Linked DNA regions of Mus musculus: regions 2, 3 and 4 are each reported to be linked to region 1. The links are microRNA targets in miRTarBase. Many come from high-throughput screens and were not tested one by one. Region 1 holds a microRNA gene; each other region holds the end of a gene's coding sequence.
Evidence for each region. The annotated mature microRNA mmu-miR-5135 reads AGGUCUAGGUGGCAAGGGCGUCCU and lies in region 1 at 2,359-2,382, opposite strand. An mRNA with a match to its seed (bases 2 to 7 or 8) in the 3' UTR can be bound and repressed. Matches are read on the target gene's strand: a 7mer-m8 pairs with bases 2 to 8, a 7mer-A1 pairs with bases 2 to 7 and ends in A, and an 8mer does both.

Region 2: the mRNA of Fitm2 is a reported target of mmu-miR-5135. Seed matches in the 3' UTR shown: 7mer-A1 at 1,055-1,061.
Region 3: the mRNA of Azi2 is a reported target of mmu-miR-5135. The part of its 3' UTR that is shown has no 7-base or 8-base seed match.
Region 4: the mRNA of Git2 is a reported target of mmu-miR-5135. Seed matches in the 3' UTR shown: 7mer-A1 at 1,373-1,379.

The regions. Positions count from the first base shown.
Region 1 is chr12:76,530,785-76,534,021 of GRCm38, forward strand. Mir5135 (microRNA 5135) reads right to left here and starts at 2,428; the gene lies at 2,350-2,428. It overlaps Plekhg3 (pleckstrin homology domain containing, family G (with RhoGef domain) member 3), which reads left to right and starts at 2,776. Exons shown (of 19, transcript NM_153804.4): 1 at 2,776-3,034.
Region 2 is chr2:163,466,705-163,469,941 of GRCm38, reverse strand. Fitm2 (fat storage-inducing transmembrane protein 2) reads left to right here. Exons shown (of 2, transcript NM_173397.4): 2 at 1-1,239. The coding sequence ends at 439. Among named protein-coding and RNA genes, the nearest start is that of 2310001K24Rik, 4.2 kb to the left of the region's middle.
Region 3 is chr9:118,061,677-118,064,676 of GRCm38, reverse strand. It overlaps Azi2 (5-azacytidine induced gene 2), which reads right to left. Exons shown (of 8, transcript NM_013727.4): 8 at 1-2,963. The coding sequence ends at 2,551. It overlaps Cmc1 (COX assembly mitochondrial protein 1), which reads left to right. Exons shown (of 4, transcript NM_026442.3): 4 at 1-155. Among named protein-coding and RNA genes, the nearest start is that of Gm51660, 10 kb to the left of the region's middle.
Region 4 is chr5:114,727,481-114,730,717 of GRCm38, forward strand. It overlaps Git2 (GIT ArfGAP 2), which reads right to left. Exons shown (of 20, transcript NM_001347400.1): 20 at 1-2,914. The coding sequence ends at 2,702. Among named protein-coding and RNA genes, the nearest start is that of Mir7028, 9.6 kb to the left of the region's middle.

The DNA of each region.
Region 1 (3,237 bases):
ACAGCCCCAGGGGATCTCTTGCCTGTGTTTACATCCCTCCCTTTCCTGATGTTCACAGTGGAGCAGCAGAAATGACAATTGTGAAAACTCAATGGCCTTGGCGTCTGGGATTTGAAGCTTTCATGCGAGGCTTGGTAGCAGGCGGTCAGAGGCAAGGGATGAGAAACTGCATTGGTTCCCTGTGAGTCATCTTGACTCTGGTTGTTTGGTTTTCTCATCCATAAACTAGGGAGAACACCTCCATTCTCCCTTCCAAGTGGAGGGGCTGAGATGATGAATTAATTTGTATTTGTTAGACACCCTGAGACCTCAGATTAAAGGCATTACTGAGACTCAAGGTGTTATTATAATAATAAATGATTTAATAGCAGGGCGAGGCCGCTCGCTGAAGCAAGAGCTGGTGGGAAGGCAGAAAGGCTCAACGCTGAGAAGGGGGCTGCGGCTCGGCTTGAGACCCTGGTCCTGACACTGACTCTTGGAGGCTTGGAGGTAGGAAACTGATTTTTTATAAAATCTTGCTTGTTTCATCTGGCTCCAGCATGGCCTTATTGAATGCTTCTTACAAGTTCTGCATAGTAAGATTACAATCTTTTCAGGAAATGGGCATATAAATTAAAGCAATTAGAAACAACTCGAGGCTTTAGAATCAAGTTCAGAATGGACTAACAAGTGTCTAGAAGGAAGTGGAGAAAGAGCTGGCTGGCTAAATGCAGTTTTCCCTGTGGGTAGAAACTCCCAGCTCTACCACCCACTAGCAGTATGACCAAGCCTCAGTTTCTCCTGTAACCGCAATTGTTCTTGTAAAATGCTCAAAGGTTAACACAGTAAGCACTCCAGTGTCGCCCCCTCAGACTACGCCCCTTGATGCAATTGATCTTGGCCAGACTGCTCCATCCTTAGAGCCTCAGTATTCTTCCTGCAAAATGGGAGTAAGTGTATTCCTGCCTTAGTGATTATAAAGTGCAGTGCACTTGGTAGCACCATTCCCTAACCATTACTATCATCAACATTTTATTTTTCTTTTCTAGCTAAGGAGCCAGTCATACATTCAAAAGTTTTAAATCTCTGGATTGGGGCTGGGGGACGTCTTTGGAAGTTGGGAGTTTAAGATTAGTAGGAAAGGACTGGTAAGATTTAACAGATTAGAGAAGAAACCAGAAACCCAGAAAGTTCGAGGTGGGAAGGAGTGGGGCTTCTCCCTTTCCCATCCCACCCCGTAGTTTTATCTCTCTCCCCCGTTCCCGGGTAATCTTGTTTCTCACCAGTGCTGTCCTCTAGTCTGCCGCTCTTCAAGCCTAACCTGTGGACTAAGTAACGTGAGCCTTACTTTCTGGCCCTCCCGCAGTCAGGAGCAAGGACTACTTTAATCTTTACTCTTCCCAGGGATCCCGTTTCAAAGTCACCTGAAAGCCATTTCCTCTCTCTCTGCCCCGCCCCTCCCCGTAAATCACTAGGTGCTTGCTTTTCCCTGGGGCAGCTTTTTTTTTTTTTTTTTTTGAGGGCAGTGGTGGAGGAGGGGATTTTATAAGCTATTTAGGATTTTCACTTGTCTACACTTGGCGGTCTAAATGCTGAGTTACTGGGGTCGATTCTCCATTCCTGTTCCAAGAACCTGGTGCCATCGTTTAACGCAGGAGTCCTACTTCTTCTGTGATCTCACACTGGGCTCCCATCTCCTACCCCTCTTCATGGTGCGTACTGGGGACAGCATCTAATGCTACCTCCCCTAAGATCTTTACCAATGAAAGATTTATTCTTAGTGAGGTGTAGTAGCGCACACCTATAATTCTAGCACTCTGGGGGATCACTCAAGAGTTCTGGGCTAGCTTGGGCTACAAAGTGTGGGCCTGTTTCAAATCAAAAAATAAAATAAAAACAATAATTAGGGCGTGGTGGTGCACACCAGTAATCCCAGCACTCCGGAGATAGAGGGTGGAGAACCATTACTCTCAAGATTACCCTCTGCCAGTCTCAGATAATTGAAATCCTGCTTCAAAAACAAAAACCACACAAAAGATTTATGTTCTTGCTCAAAATCTAACTGGTTTGTATTCTATGTGCTTGTGCTAATCATCCCCCAATTTTCCCATCCCCTAATTTCCCGGTACATGCCTTTTGTTGATAGATCGCACTCAAAATGGGGTCCACTGACATTCAGGTTCCTCGATCAGTTTTTCTCATTAACAGTCCCACTGAGCGCCGCGCCCCGCCCCGCCCCAAGTTATGCGCTTCTTATCTCTTTCTCCTCAGAAGGTAAGATTTTACAACTGTAAAGAGCCACCGAAACCTAGTTTCGGCGAGGAATTCGAGACGTGCCTTTCTGACTCAGCGGTCGTGGTGACCTGCTCCAGTAGGACCAGGACGCCCTTGCCACCTAGACCTGCGCTTCTCCTGGGAAAGTCTAGGTGGCTGGGCTCCGAGTCCTCTCTGGTCGGAACCTGGTCTGGAGGCTTTCGTTGCCCTCTCGGCGTGATATCAGGGCGGTGGCACTAGAGTAACCCCACCACGTGCGCCTTGGGATCCCAGAGTTCCAGGTGGCAAGGGGAGGCGGCCAGCGGGACCCACACGGCGGGCCACGCGCGTTAATCATTAGCCACGGCGGCCGCTGTCTACAGCGGGAGCCACAGCTCGCTCGCACCGCCGCGAAGGTTCCCCCGGGCCCCCCAGAGCCGCCAATTGCTGGATCGCAGCCGCGAGCGCAGTCTCCACCCACTGGAAACATTCCTGGTCCGCCCCTCCCTGGCTCCCTCCCTCTCCCTCTCTCTCTCCCTCCCTCCCTCCCGCCGCAGCCTGGACTCCGGCCGCAACTTCCTGCCCGGTGCTGGGGAACCGTGCGCATTTCGGGGGTCCCCCGGCGTCTGGTGCTCGCAGCGAGCAGAGGCTGGGACCGCGGGGCGGCCAGCCGTGGGCGGGAGCGGCCGGCGGCCTCTGCCGCTTCCGAGAGCGACTTTCAAACTCGAGCCCGCTTCGCGGCGCCACCTGGGCAGCCCCGCGCGCCTGGCGCGTCGCGAGCCGGCGGGGCGGCCACCGCTTGGTGAGTGTCCCTAGGTTTGCCTTTCTCTCTTTGCCCATGCTCGATTGGCTGAGTGGCAGCGCTCTGCGGAGACCCCAGGCTAGCCCTCTGTGGGATGAGGACCTGGCCCCGAGCTGCCTCGGACACACTCGGAGGAGGTTGGGTCGCGGGAAGGTCGTAAGGGGAGTCACTTTTTATCCCCACCCCGGAAACCAAAGCAGCAT
Region 2 (3,237 bases), not on the chromosome of region 1:
TACAGGCAGCTGCTACCAGTCCCCGGCCCTGGAGGGCATCAGACAGGAGCATCGCAGCAAGCAGCAGTGCCACCGGGAAGGGGGCTTCTGGCATGGCTTTGACATCTCGGGCCACTCCTTCCTCTTGACCTTCTGTGCGCTCATGATTGTGGAAGAGATGGCCGTGCTGCATGAGGTGAAGACGGACCGCGGCCACCACCTCCATGCCGCCATCACCACCCTGGTTGTCGCCCTGGGTTTCCTGACCTTCATCTGGGTGTGGATGTTTCTGTGCACAGCCGTTTATTTCCACGACTTGACCCAGAAAGTGTTCGGCACCATGTTTGGTTTGTTGGGCTGGTACGGAACATATGGGTATTGGTATCTGAAGTCTTTCTCTCCAGGACTTCCTCCCCAGAGTTGTAGTTTGACTTTGAAGCGAGATACTTACAAGAAATGAAAGAGAAGGACATAGGGACAGGAGGACAATGGCTAATAGGATTCCCACGTACTTTGTCCAGTACAGAATTATCTGTCCCATTTCAGAGAGGGCCCTTACTAGGTACCTTTGGTGTGGGGGGCGCTTGGGGAACAAGCTTAGTTGGCAGACTCTGCTGGCGGTGCCACCATGTTGCCAGCAGTGCTACTCCTGTCAGATTCTTCTCATCTATGGCAAGATGTGACCTTAATCTGTCCCCAGAGGGAGAGCTGAGGCTCAGCAGAGGGAGAGCAGCCTGCCTCATCGTGTGGGTCAAGAGAGAATCAGGGCTTCAGGATTCTCTGCTGTGGCCTCCCCGGCTCTGCTTCTCTTTAGAGTTTAGAGGCCACAGTAATGCTGTTCTTCTAACAGCTTCCCCATGGCCAACTCTGAGATAAGCCTTTGTCTCTGGCAGGCTCTTTGTTAAATACCCCAATGCCTCAAGGACACTCTCTGGCTGTAGCATCCGCGTCCTCTGTGGAATGTTGACATTTCACCTGGCCATGATTCCCAACAGGGGCCCATGACCCCGAAGTGCCTGGATGGTTGTTGTTGTTGTTTCTCTGTGTAGCCCTGCGTGTTCTGGAACTCACTCTGTAGACCAGGCTGGCCTCAGACTCAGAGATCTGCCTGCCTCTGCCTCCCGAGTGCTGGGATTAAAGCTGTGTCCACCACGGCCTGGCCTGGCACTTGGATGGTTTCTTTTTCTGTCCACACTATGTATCGTTATGTCTTGGGGTTTGGAGCAGTAACAGAGAACCCCATTTTCTCTCTTCTCTCCTGAGTGACTGCCCTATGGTTTTAATCATTACTACTCTATTTGTTCTCTGTTGGCAAAGCTCCAGTGTCACCCACACCTTGGCATGTGAAAATTGTTTTGAGGGTTTTTTTTGTTTTGTTTTGTTTTGTTTTGTTTTAGAACACTAACTTTTTGTATAAACCAAATTCTTGGCTTGTCATATGAAATTGCACCTCATAGGAATGTTCCCTCTCTTAGAAATATAACTGGAGGCCGGGAGGCACGGTGCTGCACGCCTCTAATCCCAGCACCGGGAAGGCAGAGGCAGGCAGATCTCTGTGAGGTTGAGGTTACCTTGCCAGGGCCACATTGTGAGCTCCTGACTGGAAGAAGAAAGAAGGAAGGAAGGAATAAAACTGAGAAGCAGACTTGTATTAGTTGATGAATGTTAAGCTGAGAGAGCAACTCAGTGCTCACTTGTTCTGAGGCTTTCCTGCCCACTGGCTGGTGATAGAGACACAATAGGGTTTGGGGACCTCATAGGACCACAGGACAAGTGCCACAGCCTAAGGGATTTTTACCTTTGGAGATTATGATAATATAGAAGTGAGAGCAAATGTTTCCCTCTGATGCAGGAAGCCAGCCAGCACGCAAAGCCGCCTGTATTACATACAACCACCATGCCAAATCAGCCATATTACATAGCGCCATGACTTTGGCCCTGCCTCTTTTCTTCAGCTCACAGACAGAACAACCCTAGGAGGGGGTGTTCAATAGCCATGAGAGTCTTTTCTTGAAGCACTTCCCGGCTTCCAGCCATGGTGTTCACCGTGACTGTTAGGGTAAGAAGTCTTGTCACCCACGTCCCATGCGGCAGGCTTCCAGTCTGATGAGAAGGGCCCTGTCCTCCCCCGGGTGATCTCCTTAAGCCTGGCACAGCTGAGCCCCTGGCCTTTTGGATGATGGTCCTTGAAGCTGCTTTGATGCCTCCTCCCTAGCAGAGCTGGCTAATGACATTACCTGATAAGCTTTGGCCCTGACCCTGACTGGCCTGACTCAAGTTCGGGTTATTAGGCACTTAGTAAATTAAGAGACAGCTCTTTCTTTTTCTTTTAATTTTAGTATTTTTTTTAATTTCTAGTTTAATTTAATCTTTTGAGGCAGGGTCTTACTATTCAGTCCTGGCTGGCCTGGAACTCACTATGTAGACCAGGCTGGTCTCAGACTCACAGAGATCTACCTGCCTGCCTCGGTTTCCTAAGTGCTGGGATTAAAGGTATATATACTAAGATTAAAGCCACCACATCTGGCTACTAAGTAATTTTTAAAATATAATAATCTATTTAAAATATGTATTTTATATCCTGTTGAACTACAGGTCAACTTGACCAATTACTATTTAAGATGTAAGATGTTGTCACCAAAGGTGAAGAAAGGCAGGCAGAAAGGGGTCCCCATGATGTTTTGCTCTGTTGACAGTGGACTGAAAGGATATTTGACTTCCTGGGAGTGTCTATCCATCTCCCCACGGTAGGAATGGGTCTGGGGATGATGGTAGGGCTGGTCCCCAGGTAAAGACTCTCAAGCTGCATGTTCACAACAGAAGGGGGCAGACACAGGATGTGGCCAGAGGCTCATTTGTCACACTGGGGCTCCGGGCATTTTCCTCACGTGATCTGACCAGTTTTAACATTGAGTCGACAACACGTGGGAATTCACAGTTGCTCATTGTTCTCTGCATATCAGATGGATGAAATCACACATGCTTATACTTGACACTCCTCCCTCTCTGCTCTGGGTGGGGTGGTGCCCAGGGTTCTGAGCCACACCCCAAGTTCCTCAGAGCCCTCACCTTCTCAGGAGCATGCCTCTCCTGCCGTGTGAGGAGGCGTGGCATGGGTGAGTGTTTGGGCTTGGGCTGCCATGAGGTGCAGGTGTGAACGTTGGCATCCCTCCCAAACCACCTGACCAGCGTGCAAGCCCTTGTTGGCCTTGTCAGTAAAATGGAGGCGATTCTTTGAGCACTGAAAGGAAATCATAC
Region 3 (3,000 bases), not on the chromosome of region 1:
AAAATACTGTATAATCTTGGATTTTAAGAAGTTGGCATTGTTAGTGTGAACTTCTGTTTTGTGATATTGGGGGTTTGGGAGGAACTGTGGTAAGTTTCTCTTTTAGTGTGTTACCCTAGTCTGAGCTTTTTATATTAAAAACTATTTTAAAAAAACCAGGAAGGCAAGATTTAACTTTGGCTCCAATCCTATGAAAAAAATTTCTCATTCAAATGAAATGAACCTAGTCAATGAATGCATGTTCAAGCTTCACAGTGTACTCACCAAAGAACTACTTTACTTTTGTTTGAAACTCAAAGAACCCATTCTCCCAAAGCACAGATCAACAGAAGGTGACTGGAGGCCAAGCAGAGCAAACTCAGGAAGATACTGCAGCACGGGGAAAGGCCAAGCAGCCCATTATCTCTGCGCTGGCCTTGTTGGCACTGGCACATTTCTATTGGACAGGGCTACAGTTGTTTTCAGTGACTCAAAGAAAAGGTACAGTTACTACAAGAAGCCAGTGACATAGTAACAAGATTTCTGTTGTGTGTCTCGAAACCAGTAGGTACTAGATAAACTGTGTTCCCATTCACCGCTTGCCTGACTAGTGTACCTGCTGCAGATGTGTCTTTGGATCCCCGGTTTTTACAGGTTCATGGGGCAGTTCTATTTTGGCGTTGGCTCAATACAATAAAGGACCAAGAGGAAGGAGCATGTGGCTACTGTCGGTTGTGTCCTAATATTAATGAGTTACAGGTGAGCTTAATTAGATTTAGGGAAGCTTGTTGGGGTTGTCAGCTAGTATGAAAAGGACCAACGGGACTGTCAATTTTAATGAATCACAAAATACAGCTGTTACCATTGACTAAGTATATATTTAAACATTTTCTGACCAGGTAAGAATATTTTAGGGTTTCTCTTTTCTAGCTAAGGAGTCTTACACAAGCTTTTAACACTTTGACTGTTAACACCCATCAGACTGTTCTAGCAATCCTTTTTGATAACGGTTACTACTAGTTAGAGGGGATTCCCTCCATTCAGAGTATGTTGGAGAAATAAAATTAATACCAGACTTTGGAAATATACATAGGCAAGGACAGTATTTCACATCCAATTCCATTTTAAAAACAAAAATAATTTTAATTAAAACAATTTCTTGGCATTGTTCAAAAACATTATAAGACTCTCTTTACAAAAGAAAACTTCTCATCTTGGTTTGAAAAAAAGCAAACCATTAAGCTACATCAGTCCTAAGATGATGGACAGCCTCCGCAGTCACACGAGAACTGCGTTTGCTTTCTTATTACACAGTCAGTTAGTGCCTTCAGCTAGAGCCTGGGCTTGTGTATTTGTTTTATGCATATTGGGTCTTGTTGTATTACTTGGCAGGAGCCTGTACTCCCTCGAGTCAGCTGTGTTCATTGGTCAGAACACATTCCAGTATCTGACATCAATTCCATTAATCACGGACAGGCATGAGTAAGTGACTGAGATAACTCAACAGTGAACAGTGCCTGGCTATGCATTCTATTCAGTGATACAAGGTCAGAGATCCTCTGAATTCAAGATACATGAAATGGCACTTAGAAAAGGATAAAGTCTTCTTACATCAAACAGGTAATACATGATTACTAATACTCTTAATGCTTCCACCTTGAAAAAATTTAGATGAATTTCCACATGAAGCCATCTTTGTTATTTCTTTACTTATTTACAAGTGATTGGGCACTTAGAATGAGTTGGGATATTTCACAATTGTACAGCACAAGATTTAGTTCTAGATGCAGCTAATTAGCATTTACTTTCTCAAATGTCATATCTAACAGTGTGTAAGCTGCTCTGTGTAAAACAAATAGCTGTCCTGCTGAAAATGACCACACGGGAGGTTCACTACACATCACTGAAGAGACTGCCCTGTGAGATGCTCTTTCTTCTTTTAACTGGACATTGTATAAGGTTATAATAGTTTATTCACATACCACATCATTTTTAACTATTTAGGATTTAAATATACTGGGAAAAAGTTGGCTTCAATAGTCATTAATTCAAGTCTTAGAATTCAAATTGCACTTTAAATTTGTATATACAAACATTTTACTTAAAAATGATTTTAAATCTTAAAACTTGAAACAATAGCATAGAGATGTCATAACCTACTTTTATTCCATTATATTTCAAATCTTTATGTATCAGGAATTTACAGAAGCTCAACCTACTCTTACTTGCTTCTTGATACAATCTAAACCAGCAGACATGTTTTTTCTTTTATACTAAAGGCTGCTTTTTATTTAATGATTGGATATTTAGGCAGGTCACATACTTTATAAAACCATGCCTAAAATTTTCATTTCCACTCTATCCAAGAAGCAAAAATGTATAATTGTTATCAAAGGTACAACTGGAGGTTCCCATACTGGAAAATCAATTACATATATAATGTTATACAGAATGTACAAATGTACATACTGGAGAACTGCACAAGCCATCAATCAAAGTCCACTTTCAGTTTGAACAATCTCTTGGGAGAACCCCTGAGTCCGTGTCTTCCTGATCAAATCACAAGTGAAATTAACTTTTGTAAAGGCAGTTCTGATTCTGTTGATCCAGGTAATGCAGTGGCGGCAGGTTGGATAAAGGTAAGATTTTGCTTTTATTTTCACCAAATGCTGTCTCACTTGATTTAGGAGGGCTTGGGAATACCCAGGAATTATCTTCCAGAGAATTTCTCCCATAGGAGCTGTGCTCTGGAAAGTCTGCACCGTCATTAGGAACCAATCTCTCGTTATCTGTCCATGACTGAAGAACTGCTTTGTCTGAGAAAACCTTTCTATCTCCTGGTAAAGGGGAAGACGGAGCATAACAAGGAGCTTTGCCATTTGGTGACAAAGAGGGATGTCTTTTGTAAGTTGCAGTAAAATTTGTCAAGTGCAATTTCGTGCTGTCTCTCCCAAGGTCTTCAACACATCCTACTGGGGTACAGGCTAAAAAGAAAGCACAGCTATGTGTCAGTCTTCTAGA
Region 4 (3,237 bases), not on the chromosome of region 1:
GTAACTTCAGGATGCTGAGAAGCCACCAGAGGAGGAGGAGCGAGGGGGCTTAACACCAGGTATGCAATGCTCTTTTCTCTATGCTGCACTTTGCTTTGTAAGAGCGTGGGTGATAGCCAGCTAGGACAAAGAAGGAAAGGAAACTGCACTGCGAGCCCACCGAAGCTGTGGAGGATGAAAACACGCGGCTTTCAGGCTGCATTCCATGATGGAAGTCACTGAGGTCAGGGCAGAGCCCCTGCGCTGTGCCGTTAAGAGTCCCGAGTGCACGCAACACTGGACTTCGTCTTTGGCAAGTAAAGACCGTGGTGCTGAGGCCACAGTGCCTTCCGGGAACGGAGCTTGAGGCAGGGCCTGCTCCATTAATTGTGTCTTCATCCTCTCCATCTTAGAAAGTGGGGTACACAGGTGGGAAGGCAGAATCCCAGAGAGGGGAGAGAGCAGCCAGATTGGATGCAGAGCTCACTCCTGCGAGGCGATGAGACCCACGTGCAAAAAACCCAAAAACGGCCAGGGCGAGCTTTGAGACAAAACGCATTTGCCCACAGGAACAGTATGCTCTAACCCCAGCCAGGTCTCAGGAGGGACTGTGTGGGGCCCCTCCTGCTGTCTCCTCAGGCCTCCACACAGGGCCTTCAGCCTGAGGAGGACATGGGACTGACTGGTGTTCTTGAGAGCGTCTGGAAATGCTGTACTGGCCCCGTGTTCTTTGATTTCTCAAGGACAGCATTCTTCTTCGTGACTTAACGGGACTGCACCACTCCACCTCTAACAGTTCTCTTCCCGGAAGCTTCCAACAGAGGCCTGCTCTCTCTGGGGATGGTGGGAACCAGCTCAGGCTGGAACCAGCTCCAGGGAGCCTGCCAGGAAGAGCAGTCATCCTTGGAGCACGCAGAAAAGCTTGTCAGAGAGGATGCCTGAGCTCACACTGGCCGGCCCCTTTCTAAAAGGCCCTGCTGGACATCCTCCAGCACTTAGGCTTGTGTGTATCGATGAGTGGGCAGGCCCCTGGAGCGCTGAGCCTTTCCTCCGAGCTGTGAGCCTCACGTTGAGGTGATGCTGTCTCCAGGATGCATTGGCCATGTTGTAAGAGGGACTATGAGGCAGGCTCAGCATACTGAGGTCACCTCACTTTGGTCGTTCTATGGGAGACTGATGCTGCCTTCCAGGGCTGGCTGACAGGTTCACTCATGTGCAGGTTACAGACCCCAGCGGAGGCTGAGATGGGCAGCCTGTTCAGTGGGCATGTCTGGATTGACTGTCCACATTTCTGATTAGAAAAATGTCATGAAGCCTGGCGGTGGTGGCGTACGCCTTTAATCCCAGCACTCAGGAGGCAGAGGCAGGTGGATTTCTGAGTTCCAGGACAGCCTGGTCTACAAAGTGAGTTCCACGACAGCCAGGGCTACACAGAGAAACCTTGTCTCGAAAAACCAAAAAAAAAAAAAAGAAAAGAAAAGAAAAGAAAAATGTCAAGAAATAACTCAAACTTCTGGTTCCTTGAAAAACCAAAGCACTGGCAGCCACAGGCTACTTTTCTACAGCTGCATGAGGGGTATGAGTGGGACAAGCTGCTGTCCTCACAGGCTGGGTGGGGTCCCTAGCCGCCCTTGGCTGTCTGTGCACCTGGCTGGCAACATAGCCACTGCCTGCTCCCTCAGGTCAGGGCCAGAGCTCCACCCAGGCAGAAGCGATCGACAAAGTGCCTTCAGCACAGCGAGCGCCAGTGCTGCGGTGGCCTGGGTGTCAACCTCTGCCCTTGGGGAGCTGTGGGGGAGCTGCCACCAGCTAGGGCACACGGGGAACTCTTCGTGCAGCGCCACAGGAGTTCTAATCATGAACTACCCGTGAGGGGATGGGGACACGGAGGCCCTGCGTCTTACCTGGGAAGACATCCTTCCAGAGGAGCCGTGTGGAGGATGTCAGCAGCACGGCCTGTGAAACTGACTCAGGGTTCTAAGTAAACTGTCTGGCTTGGCGGGGAAGCAGGCCCCTGACAGTGGGCGGTGCTCCTGCTCTGAATGTGGCCGACTGGAAGCTGATGTAAAGGGTGGATTTCTAACTACTTTTTTGGACATTATGGAGACATCAGCATGATGGTAAAATCTTTATAGATAGAAAATCAAGATAAAAATATTAAATAAGACAACACTTAACATGATACAAGAGTTAGAAATGGATCCGCTCCTTGTCACTCCCAAGAGATGCGCTCTCTCTAGGAAGTGGGAAGCTCTGCTCCTCGTGCACATGGAGAGACCCCACAGGATGGAAGGGAAGCTTCCTGATTGACTGCACGATGCTTGGAAGGGACGGATGCTGCTGCTGCTGCTGGGGTTTTTGTTTTTGTTTTTAAATCCAACTTTCTTATCTCTTAAGAAAATGTTTTACTAAAAATATCAATTATAGCTTTAGGCATGGGTAGAGATTGTAAAGGACAGGAAAGTTGTAACACACTTGGAACAATGACTTTTGAACACATGGGGTCATGACCTAAGCACTTGGTGACAATCTGACAGGACAGAACTAAGTTGCAAATAGGCACAAATAAGGCAAGGGTTAAATTACAGTCAAAAATCTGTTAGAAAACATGCAAAAAATAATACTGAGCTTTCTTTTAAAAAGTCTGAAATCATCATTAAATGTTTTGTAAAAATCTGAAGAGTTCGTGTATAGTCTATGGGCAGGCAGACAGCACCCGAGCTCAGCTGCTGTTCTCTTTGGTGGTGATTGTGACCAGCTGTTTGGCGGCCTTGGCGATGTCATAGGCACACTGGATGACCTGCTGTGTGACCAGCTGCACATCTGTGGGTAAGCTGGAGTCTCCTGGGAGAGCCTTTCTGCACTCCGACTGGAGCCGGTAGGCACTGGACGTGAGTAGGCGGAGGGAAGTCCTCACCGTGTCAGACTTGGGTTTCTGAAATGAAAGCAGAGCCGTCTGCTGGGGGCTGCAGGGTGTGGAGGCAGCAACATGGAGTGAGCCAGTTCCCAAGAGCAACCTGAGCTGCCCCAGAAAGTCTGATTGCTTTCAGCTGGGTATTTTATTGTTTTTTTTTTTCGAGACAGGGTTTCTCTGTGTAGCCCCGGCTATCTTGGAACTCGCTCTGTAGATCAGGTTAGCCTCTTGCCTCGGCTTCCCAAGGCATGCCCCATTACCACCCAGCTAGTTGGCATTTTAAACATTATCAGCTTTGCAACTCGTGGCCTACGAAGAGAAGCTTAGGTGCTATATCCTAAACT